Callithrix jacchus: one gene and its partners. The protein of the gene in region 2 purifies or fractionates together with the protein of the main gene of each other region. This does not show direct contact. Links are inferred from orthologs where the notes say so. Each region holds a gene or a part of one and is shown on either strand. Other genes may lie near its edges.

The links.
Region 1: the proteins of EIF4A2 (region 2) and EIF3H purify together in Homo sapiens (affinity purification with mass spectrometry; 3 studies listed by BioGRID and IntAct, with this or other methods). This does not show direct contact. The link is inferred for Callithrix jacchus from reciprocal best matches to the Homo sapiens genes EIF4A2 and EIF3H.
Region 3: the proteins of EIF4A2 (region 2) and EIF4G3 purify together in Homo sapiens (affinity purification with mass spectrometry; 3 studies listed by BioGRID and IntAct, with this or other methods). This does not show direct contact. The link is inferred for Callithrix jacchus from reciprocal best matches to the Homo sapiens genes EIF4A2 and EIF4G3.

Annotation. Positions count from the first base shown.
Region 1 is NC_133517.1:80,682,242-80,685,996, reverse strand, and holds the start of EIF3H (eukaryotic translation initiation factor 3 subunit H), read right to left. Parts: upstream 2,677-3,755; 5' UTR 2,651-2,676; coding exon 2,519-2,650; intron 1-2,518.
Region 2 is NC_133516.1:15,750,949-15,754,703, reverse strand, and holds the start of EIF4A2 (eukaryotic initiation factor 4A-II), read right to left. Parts: upstream 2,287-3,755; 5' UTR 2,252-2,286; coding exon 2,223-2,251; intron 1,435-2,222; coding exon 1,386-1,434; intron 1,299-1,385; coding exon 1,166-1,298; intron 1,058-1,165; exon of another isoform or gene 989-1,057; intron 888-988; coding exon 748-887; intron 1-747. UniProt on the Homo sapiens protein: ATP-dependent RNA helicase which is a subunit of the eIF4F complex involved in cap recognition and is required for mRNA binding to ribosome.
Region 3 is NC_133508.1:57,649,365-57,652,256, reverse strand, and holds the end of EIF4G3 (eukaryotic translation initiation factor 4 gamma 3), read left to right. Parts: intron 1-1,301; coding exon 1,302-1,483; 3' UTR 1,484-2,319; downstream 2,320-2,892. UniProt on the Homo sapiens protein: Component of the protein complex eIF4F, which is involved in the recognition of the mRNA cap, ATP-dependent unwinding of 5'-terminal secondary structure and recruitment of mRNA to the ribosome. Functional homolog of EIF4G1.

The DNA of each region.
Region 1 (3,755 bases), on a different chromosome or scaffold from region 2:
AAAAAGATAAAGGAACCCTGCAACTGCATCATAATCTAGCTGCCTAAAATTATATAAATGACAGAAAGGCAGATGTCCAAAGAGAGGAAAAGTTGTTAGGAATTTATTTTGCTAATATCTACCTAACCGGTGGAGAAAAAAAGCAGAGTTACCCACTACTGCAACTCTGCAATAAGAGATCTTTCACTAAGTTCATCAAGAATCTGCATATAAATAATTCTCAAGTAAAATAATCCTTTACCTGCTCTTATCATGATTGACTTTGGAGTCACTGATAAGCTTTTGATCTTTTTTTTGTTTTTGAGCAATGGTGCAATCTTGGCTCACTGCAACCTCCGCCTCCTGGGTTCAAGAAATTCTCCTGCCTCAGCCTCCCAATTAGCTGGGACTACAGGCATGTGCCACCACACCTAGTTAATTTTTGTATTTTTAGTAGAGACAGGGTTTCAACATGTTGGCCAGAATGGTCTCAATCTCTTGATCTCGTGATCCGCCCACCTCGGCCTCCCAAAATGCTGGGATTACAGGCATGAGCCACTGCACCCAGTCACTTGATTTTTTAGCCGATTTCAAAGGTGCTTCGGTAATCAGAAATGGTCCTTTTGGTGGTACATATAAGCATTTTCACCACTGTAAAGGTTTATCTTCCACAGTAAATGAGTAAATCAACATTCACATGTACAAACCAATCCCCTGTGAGCAGGATTAACGGGTTCCTTGGCATTAATCAATTGTGAGAGAGCTGATAAAAAAAACAGTAATTTGTGAATCCACGAAATTGAGAACCACTCTCTTGACCTTCCTAAGCCCACTGTCTACTTGTGAAACTTGAAGTGATCCAGTCCATCTCCACCTGCAGGTCTCTTTTTAACAATCCCTCTTAAAGTTGCCAGGAAATTGTTACTGATGTGCTTTTATCACTGCCCTGTTAGACAATATTTGGCACTTAGAAGAATGTCCTAAAATATTTACTGAATAAATGACCTCCAAATAGATTTAATGCCACCGACCTTTTGCCTTTTTCAACTCTGAAAACTAAGTGACTCAAAGAGTGCTGTTGTGACATAACAAATTTAATAAGAAATGTGCTCCTAAGGAATAAACATTTCCCAAGTGTGTAAGTGGTACTTATTTTAACAAGTGTAATCTAAGTCCACCCACCAGCTTTAGAGATTTGTAATCTCTAAAGACACATCATTTGTTCCTGAACAAACATCTGCTTCCCATGAGCCAGGGAAAGCCAGAGTGCCAGTACACAGACCAGATAGTACTGCATTTTCAACGTATTACACAAGTGACACTTAGAGCAAAACATTCCAAAGTTAATCTCTCACCTGCATCTTTCAAGCTCTGCTAACCATAGACGTTAAACTCTTAATAATCGTAACATTGATTACTCTGTGCTAGAGGTCACCACATAAATTTTTTATTTAACCCAAACAACTCTATGACATAAACCCTTCTCATTCCCACTTGACAGATGAGAAAAGCAAAGCTTGGAAAGGTTAACTTGCCCAAGGTCACAGAGCTGGTTAAGTGGAAGACCCTAGAAGACTAAATGAGCTCCTAACCACTAGGCTACACTTTTGTATCCAGTTTAACTAAGTCAGTTCAACAGATTCAATTATATGCTGGATTTAAATTATGAATAGTTTCCACTTAAAAATAGCACGGTGCAATTAAAATATTCACATGAATTTTAAAATACTTCCTTATTGCAAGTATCTAAGATCTGCATTAATGGGAAATAACCTTTAAAAAAATCAAAGAGAGAGAAGATGCTTTTTAAAAAGAGAGGCAGGAAAGATGTTTTTAAAACGAGAATGTCATACAAATGTATTTTGCTTCGAAACAACAGAAATAAAATTTCTCATTCTAGGTTATCCTTTTCCCAGCTAAGTCCATTCCCTTATCAAGAATTTCCTTAGATGTCCTAGTTCACGAACCTTAACTACTAAATACATTTTAGGTCCTTCTCTTTGATATTACTTTATGTTTTTCTGAATAAACACTACAAAAGAGTCCATTCTAATTATGCGGTTTCATTTAAAGCGCCGAAGTACAGGCTCAAGAGAGTGGCTACAAAGTACATCTCCATTTGGGAAGTTATAGATGTCAGATCCCAGCAGGGAAGCAGTGGAGTTTCCTTACTCTTTCCTTCCCAGAGCCCTGCTAAGTCCCTAAATCCTTCTCGACACCTTCGTTAGCTGCTTGTCTCCAGGAGTCTTTCTCCTAATCCCCACTCCAGGCAACTCAAAACAAGACCCCAGGAACTTGTCACTCACACCCTATTCTCAGTCCCCCTTCCTGAAGCCACAACTGTCCCGATAGAAGATAAGAGAAGGTTGTCGCGTCTTCTGAAAAAAAGTGAAGATGAAAGAGAAAGGTACTAGGGAAAAACTTTGGCCCAGCCACACCAAGTCCGGGGGCAGAATGCTGGAAAGTACGGCTGGCGGGGCGGGACGGGGCTGGGAACTGCGCTCCCCACGTGGGCCAGAGAATACCAAACAGCACTCACAAGGCCATCTATCTGCACTTGCTTCACGGCTGAATCTCCAGAGCCGCCTTTGCCTTTGCCTTTCCCTGCTGCGCCGGCGGTGGAACTGGAAGAGGTGGCAGAAGAGCCGGTACCTTCCTTGCGGGACGCCATCTTTCTAGGCAGACAGGAAGAAAGAGAAACATGAGTTACCGGAAGCGGAAGTACAAGTCTCGCGTGACGTCACTGGCAGACTAGCGTTCGACGGGCGGAGCTGGAAGGAGAAGCCAAAATTGGGCCCCGCCTCCCTCCTCTCTTCTAGTTTTATCGTCTTTCCAGGTGGTAGCCTTTGTGCGTGCCTACCGTACATTTTCTGCCTCTCTCCAATGGAGTGATCTAAGATGAAAGTAAAGTTTTTAAATGTTTAATCATTCACCATTAGGCGAACGGTCATAATAGCGTTACAGTTCGCATTATTTTTGTAGCGTGTCTTTCGTAAAAACGCTTTCATTTCTGATTTTGCAATGAAGTGCTGTACTAGCTCGCATTGTGCATATTAGAAAATTGAGAAGTGGTTTACCCGACACTATTCTGTTAGCGGTGAGCCAATATTGCATAGCTTGTTTTACGTAATTTTAGATAGCTACCTGTATAAACACTTAGATTATACAGAAATTAATTAAGATATGGAAACTTTTTCCAGAATTACCAGAAATAGTAGCCTTTTGCTATTAGTTTCATGTAGATATTTACATAAGTATCAAAGAAGTTATTTTAGGTATTGTTGAAGGTTGATACAGAACATTTTCTAAAAATCACGCTGATTTATGACACATTATTCTGAAATACACATCTCAAGTCTTTAAAAGAATATGTGCCAACTGTAAGAGCCTTTTTAGATAAGCAATTTAAAACATTCTTTTCTACTTCCTAATGACTTCTTTCCTATCCCTTATTTTTTAAATGCTTATTAATTCAATCAAGATATACACAGAACTGGCAAATAGTTAAATCAATAAACGGCATATCCTGCCTTGAAGTGTTTTGTTGTTTTTATCGTTGGGATCTGGTGTTATATTTCAGTCTGGGAGAAGAAATAGTTATATGTTACAAATTCTCAACACCACAAAATGGAAAGTTAATATCCATTCATTTTAAGTATATATGAAATATTTATCAAAATAGACCACATCCTAGGTCACAGAGACAGTCCACAAATTTAGAGGTGTTGAAGGTTAATCCTGGTAGAATTACACTAGAAATTGGTAATAGAAAGGTC
Region 2 (3,755 bases):
GGTCAATGACTAATTTTTAAAGCATAATGGCAAATATAATCTGGTCTGCCAACAGCTTTTATGCATGCACAGCACAAATCTACTTCCAAGCTTAAAATGCACACTGACCTAACTGCTTCAATGTAAAATTCCCTTTATGTCTTTCTTGTGCCTTGTCAGACTTGGGATGCTGTTGCCCCACACATCAGCTAGACAATTCAAGAATAACATTTCCTACATTATTCTTCACTGTGTGAACGAAGGAATCCATAGTGAAATATATGTTCTGTAATTACAGCTAGGGCAAATGTTGATTTTTTTCTTCCCCAGAGAGTATTGTGCCCTACATAATCTTGACCTCAATAAAGCCTACAGCTTTATTAGGAAGGTTTACTTCAAAGCCAATATAGCAGTGAGCTTTGAAAACATAGCATGCAACAGATGCATCACAAACTACGGAGACAGTCAAATGGTAACATGTCACTGCAGTTTTCATGTTGCACAACTGCATTCAAACTTAAAAAATGGGGACAGATCTAGTATATCCAGAGAGCTTCCGATTCTCAAGCTATTCATGTACAACCCTACAAACCGTACCTGCATACCCAGTTCTTTTAAAACTTTCAACAAAAACTCCCTGCATGCATGGACAATTAAATGGAGGGATCTGGTAGGACCAATTTATACTAAGTTTTAAATTCTTCACAGTTGTGAAACCTGAAACCTATGCAACACGCAAGCAGTTTTTTTGAACTACACTATCAATACCTGTTGAGCCAGTTCTCTGGTGGGGGCCAATACTAGTGCTTGGGTCTCCTTGAACTCAATCTCCAACTGTTGCAGGATGGAAATAGCAAATGTGGCTGTCTTGCCAGTACCTGACTGAGCTTGAGCAATCACATCATACCCTAAAAAAAGTAGGATACATATTTACCGATCCCACATCAAATTGTCACTTCTACTTCACACCATGTATTCCATTTGGAACATGAATTATGCCCAAATAATCAAGTGATCAGCAATGAGTATTCTCTTCATTTCAGGTCAGTCCCGAAAGATGATTGCCATCATTTCACTTTAAGGAATACAAACAGGTGCTAGTCCCCCAGAGGTTACTTTCCCTTTCATGGTTCAGATCTATGTAGAACAAAAATTCATTTCCTAAAAATATCGAAGTTTCTTTTACCTTTAATACAGGGAATAATAGCTCTCTGCTGAATAGCGGAAGGCTTCTCAAAACCGTAAGCATAGATGCCCCGAAGAAGAGACTCCTTTAAATTCATATCATCAAAGTTATCAACAATCTCATTCCAGTTGCTCTGTAAATTAGAAAAAAATAATGCAGGCATAAATGAGATGAACACACTCACCTTTTCAAAGCTTCAAGATCCAAAACCGTTTCTTACCTCGATGACACCATCGGGGTCCATTCCCTCTGGGCCGCCATGTTCTCTGCTGACAATAACACTGCAGTCAGACAACATCCCTTCCAAGCCTCCTAACTGCATATTAAAGGGATAGCCCTTTGCAACCCGTCTCTGCACGTTACCCTTCCGTGCCCGACCTAAAGCAGCCGCTGCACGGCGAGTATCACACTGTGCGCCTCTCTAAAGGTTGGGGGCTGCAGCCGCCCGTGTAGGCAGCCCCCCAGGCCCGAGCGCACGGCGCTCCCGTTTCGGCGGCGGAGCGTCTCGCGAGAGCTCCGCGCCCTGAGCTCCGCCCCCAACAATGCGCAAGCCGGGTGATTGACGCGGGCGGAGCGGCCTGGCGAGGGCGATGCCAACGGTTCGCCGGCACCAGTGCCGGTCCGGTCCCGTCGCCTCCGCGCGGTGGCCGAATGCAGACCGCTGCCTCCAACCCTTCGCCAACTAAAGCCTAGGACCCTCAAGTCGTGCGGTTGACCACAAGGTTCAGGTCCTAGTTACACTGTACCGAACACGGTCTGCGCCAAGACTTTTTGCTGCTTGTTTGCCGTCCTCTACACTGGGAGAGGAAGCAGCTGAAATTTCCTCATGTCTTAGGGAGGAAAAACGCCCCTTGGCCACTGTTTCCGCACCCTCGTCCTGTCTCCCCACAATCCGGGCCCTACCCATCATGGAAGCTTCTCGAAGGGCACAGGGGTGCTGTACCCCAAGGAAGCGTCCATGAATTTTTAGTTTCTTGTTTCCGTGCCATCCACTATCACCTCCCCTGGCGCCCTATGACCTTCACTACAGACCGCGACCGCCAACAGAGCGCCATACCTGTTATAATCCGCGGAGCCACCAGACATGATCCGATAAACCCACTCAGCTCTCGACTGAAAAGACAGCACCACCGCGCCACCCGTTTTTTATAGGCTCGTGGCCGGAACCCGTTTCTCGCGGAGGAATTTTCTCACCGTTCTGCGGCCAGCCACAAAATTGTGATCCTGGGGTCATTACTTCGGATAAAATCCTAAGCAAGTCGGTAGGAAAATACAAATGTGGCAATTTCTAGATACTCCAGGGTCGCTGGAAATCCTAGGGCCCAGGGTTGGGTTGGGACTCTTTGCCTCGCGGCGGAAGAATATCGCTGCAGCGTTTCTCAAACACCGCGCTCCCCGCCCGCCCAGCTCCTACGGGGTTTCCGCGTCCCTGACGCAGAGGCGGGCCAGAGGAGCCCAGCTGGAGCCGGAGGCGCTGCTTGCTGGGCGACCGGGGCTTCCCGCGGGCGAGGGGTCCCGGTTCTCTGCTGGCTGCCGGCGCTCGGGTGCGGGAGGGGAATTCGGTTATTCCGCTTGCTCCCACCGCTGTTTAATTTGACAATGAAGACCTGCCTGGCGTCTAGCCTGACGTTAACATCCATTCAGCTCTCGGAAACATAAAATTCCTGCTAGGGAAAATGTCGGCCACCCAGCGAGTCCCGGAAAGTCCGGTTTACCGGTACATTTTGCAGCGCGAGGAAAAAAATGGGAGTGTCATTTGCAGATGTCTCTGGAATAGCCAATTCTATTCTCATATCGCTTCTAGTGTTTCGTTCTCTTTTTCTTAAAAAGAAAGCTGATTCTAACCTAACAGGTGTGAAGAATGCCTAAAAGAATCAAACTTTTGCAAATGGATAGAAGCCAAGAAGCAGTAATTTTCCTTGGAACGCACGAATGTTAATGGACGCTTTGGGACTACATTGATTTTGATTCCGTCTGTATTCATCATTTTTTAAAAAGGCTTTGAGTTTTGATTGCCGATATATAGTGAAATGTTGATTTATTGGAATTCAGAGCTATATCCTCGCTGCGTAAACTGCACGGGTCTTTAAGCTCCAGATGTTTTCAATTAGCCCCATCTCAGGTCCCTCGGTAAAAATAAAAAATAACGTATATAGTCATTTAACTTTAAATTACAACCCTACCCATGGTGCAAAATATCATCGAGACTATCGGGAAACATTTTCTTATTGATTCAGAAGGCCGACTTAAAGAATGATTACTAGTTGACTCAGTTTTCTATATTATAGAAGTTACTGGTTCTAAATACTGCTTTTTTAATACAAAGTTATTTATTTGAAAATTCTTATTATGCTAGGAAGTGGGACAAAGATTAAGTATACCAAGATGGCAAAGTGGGCCTAGCCGTCAGTCTAGTGGTGCTGCTCCTCATTCATCCCTGTTATGTTTGAAATCCAGACTTGAAGTGATGCCAGACATATTCTGAGAATGATGGTTGTCAGAATGATGGTTGTCTGAGAATGATGGTTCTGTCTCATCCAGAATCTACTAAAAATATCCTGAGATCTAAGAAATCGAAAAAAAAAAACTA
Region 3 (2,892 bases), on a different chromosome or scaffold from region 2:
AAGCCAAGGCAGATGGATCACCTGAAGTCGGGAGTTCGAGACCAGCCTGGCCAACATGGTGAAACCTCATCTCTACTAAACATATAAAATTAAGCTGGGCACAGTGGCTCACGCCTATAGTCCCAGCTACTGGGGAGGCTGAGGCAGAAGAATCACTAGAACCTAGGAGGCAGAGGTTGCAGTGAGCCAAGATCATACCATTGTACTTAAGCCTGGGCAAAAAGAGCAAAACTCCATCTCAAAAAAAAAGAAAAGGTTAATATGGCTTATGATAAACCTAATATTGATTTACATTTATTGTTTATTCTACTGCCTCCCCCCATTAATATAAATGATCAGAGAGCTGACTATAATAACTAATAAGATAATAACTTATTATTTTGATAACTATAATTCTCGGTTTTACTATGAGAGTAAAACCGAGAATTAAAATAACACAGATAGTTTGGACATTTAAAATGATAAATAACAGGCATAGTTTCACTGGATAAATCCTTTACCCATGTTTTCCATGTGAATGATCACCTCTTCATTTTTAAAACAACATTACAAGGAAGAAAAAGCATATCCTGCCTTTCCACCTGCCCCCCTCCGAATTTGTAAAAAGAATACAGTAAACTTTCAATGCAGAAAATAGTAAAAAGAAAGTAAAAATCTATTCATATTGAAATTTTGTAGTGTTTAGGTTGGGATAAACATCGTATGAAACAGCTTCACAAGTATCAGAAAATAGTTCAAATAGGGCCAGGCACAGTGGCTCATGCCTGTAATCTCAGCACTTGGGGAGGCCAGAGCAGGCGGATCACCTGAGTCAGGAGTTTGAGACCAGCCTGGCCACCATGGTGAAACCCTGTCTCTACTAAAAATATAAAAATTAGCTTAGCATGGTGGCGGGCACCTGTAATCCCAGGTACTTGGGAGGCCAAGGCAGGGAAATTGCTTAAATCCAGGAGGTGGAGGTTGCAGTGAGCCAAGATTGTACCACTGCACTCCAGCCAGGGGACAGAGAAAGATGGTCTCTCAAAAAAAAAAAAAAAAAAGTTAAAATTGAACAAAATAATAGGAATAAAAAATAATTTAGACTGCTTCAGTCTTTTTTCCCTCTTATTTAAACAAGTTGTTGGGCTGTTTCTACTATCAAGAGCAAGTATGATGAATTGCCATTATTGCTTTTTTCTGGAGGAATTAATGTGCATTTATTCAGTCATTCATTATTTTGAAATGATGAGATAGCACTGAGGTACTTTTCCTCATAACTACAGTGTCCCAAAGCTTATAGTTTATTTTCACACTCCTTGCAGATTTGTTGCGGATGTTTTTTGATTGCCTATATGATGAGGAGGTGATCTCTGAGGATGCCTTCTACAAATGGGAGAGCAGTAAGGACCCTGCAGAGCAGAATGGGAAGGGAGTGGCCCTGAAATCTGTCACCGCATTCTTCACGTGGCTGCGGGAAGCGGAAGAGGAGTCTGAAGATAACTAAAACTTCAAATACACAAAACGAAACAAAAGAAACAATTTAAGTATTTTTTTAAAAAGTTTCACGTCTTCGCCAATCACAGTGCAGCAAGGCCAATTCTCGCAGAAACCCCCACATGTGCACGAGTGGGAGAGGGAAAAGAGAAAAAAAGGTGATCATGGAGGAAAAAGGTACTGGAAAAAGTAAACTTCAAACCTTAGGGCGGGAGCACTAAAACCAAAATACATGTATTATTTATAGAAAATATTTTCTGTTTTAATCTTTTCTTTTTAAACAAGGACTCATACTTAAAAAAATGTTTAGCAAAAAAAAAAATGTTGAGAACTTTTAATTTATTTTAAGGACTGCAAATGCCAGTGTAATTTTTTAATTTGCAGTTTCTGTAAACAACTTGTATAATAGAAAAGCAGAGAAATAAATTCCCCTCCCCTTCAGATGCACCTCATGTTTGTTTTAAGGTATAGCATTTAGTTCAGATTTGAGAAAGTTTGGGGTGAACAAGGTAAGAAAGATTTATTTTTGGCATCAAATCTTTCTGCCTGCCTCTCAGCTTGCTTCAGAAAATTAAAAAATCACAATAGTAATCAAAACATACATAACATTGAAACAGAAGGAAATGCTGTGGACCACAGAACTCCAAGAATTGTTTTGAAAAAAAAAAGTGCTACCCTGGTCAAAGTACTCTTAATAATTTTGAAATCTTTAGAGCAACTTTAAGGCTTGTAAATACATAGAACAAATATTTAAAAAAACAAAAAGAAATTGACTCAATACTATTTCTTTTCACTTTGAAAATATAAAGAACAAAATAAAGACAAACATTGCAAGTTTAAAAGAAAGTAAAGTGATTTCTCCTTTGGACAGCTGCTGCATATGTGCCCATTCCTGGTGGTGCTCTCTGGCTATTTATTGTCTAATTCAAATCACTCCTGAGGGGAGAGAGATAAAACGAGAGAGAGTGTGTGTGTGCGCGTGTGCACTTGTGTGTTCATGCACATATATGTATGTATATGTCTCTACTCGCTGAAAAGGCAAGCTACTTTGTGGGTAAGGAGGGCACTTATGCTTGGGTGGGAATGCCCCTCTGGGAGTCCAGTAAAATTTATTTCCAACACTAACTAGAAATGCATTCAGGACAGCAAATCTCAGGGCAGTCATTTAGATAACCAAGTTTTCCACTATATGTATCCCGACTTAGGACACTAATTCACTTTGAGACTGTCACTACCGCTGATTTTAAAATCTTCCATCAATTCCCTGCAATGATTAAGAAACCCAAAGATGTCTGCTAAAGAATGAATAAAACCAAAAGCTATGTTACGCTTTTACAAAAGTGGGGGTGGGATTTAAAATCAAACCAATACTATGTATGAAAATCACATTGTCTGCCAACTCCAACCTCATTCAAGCCA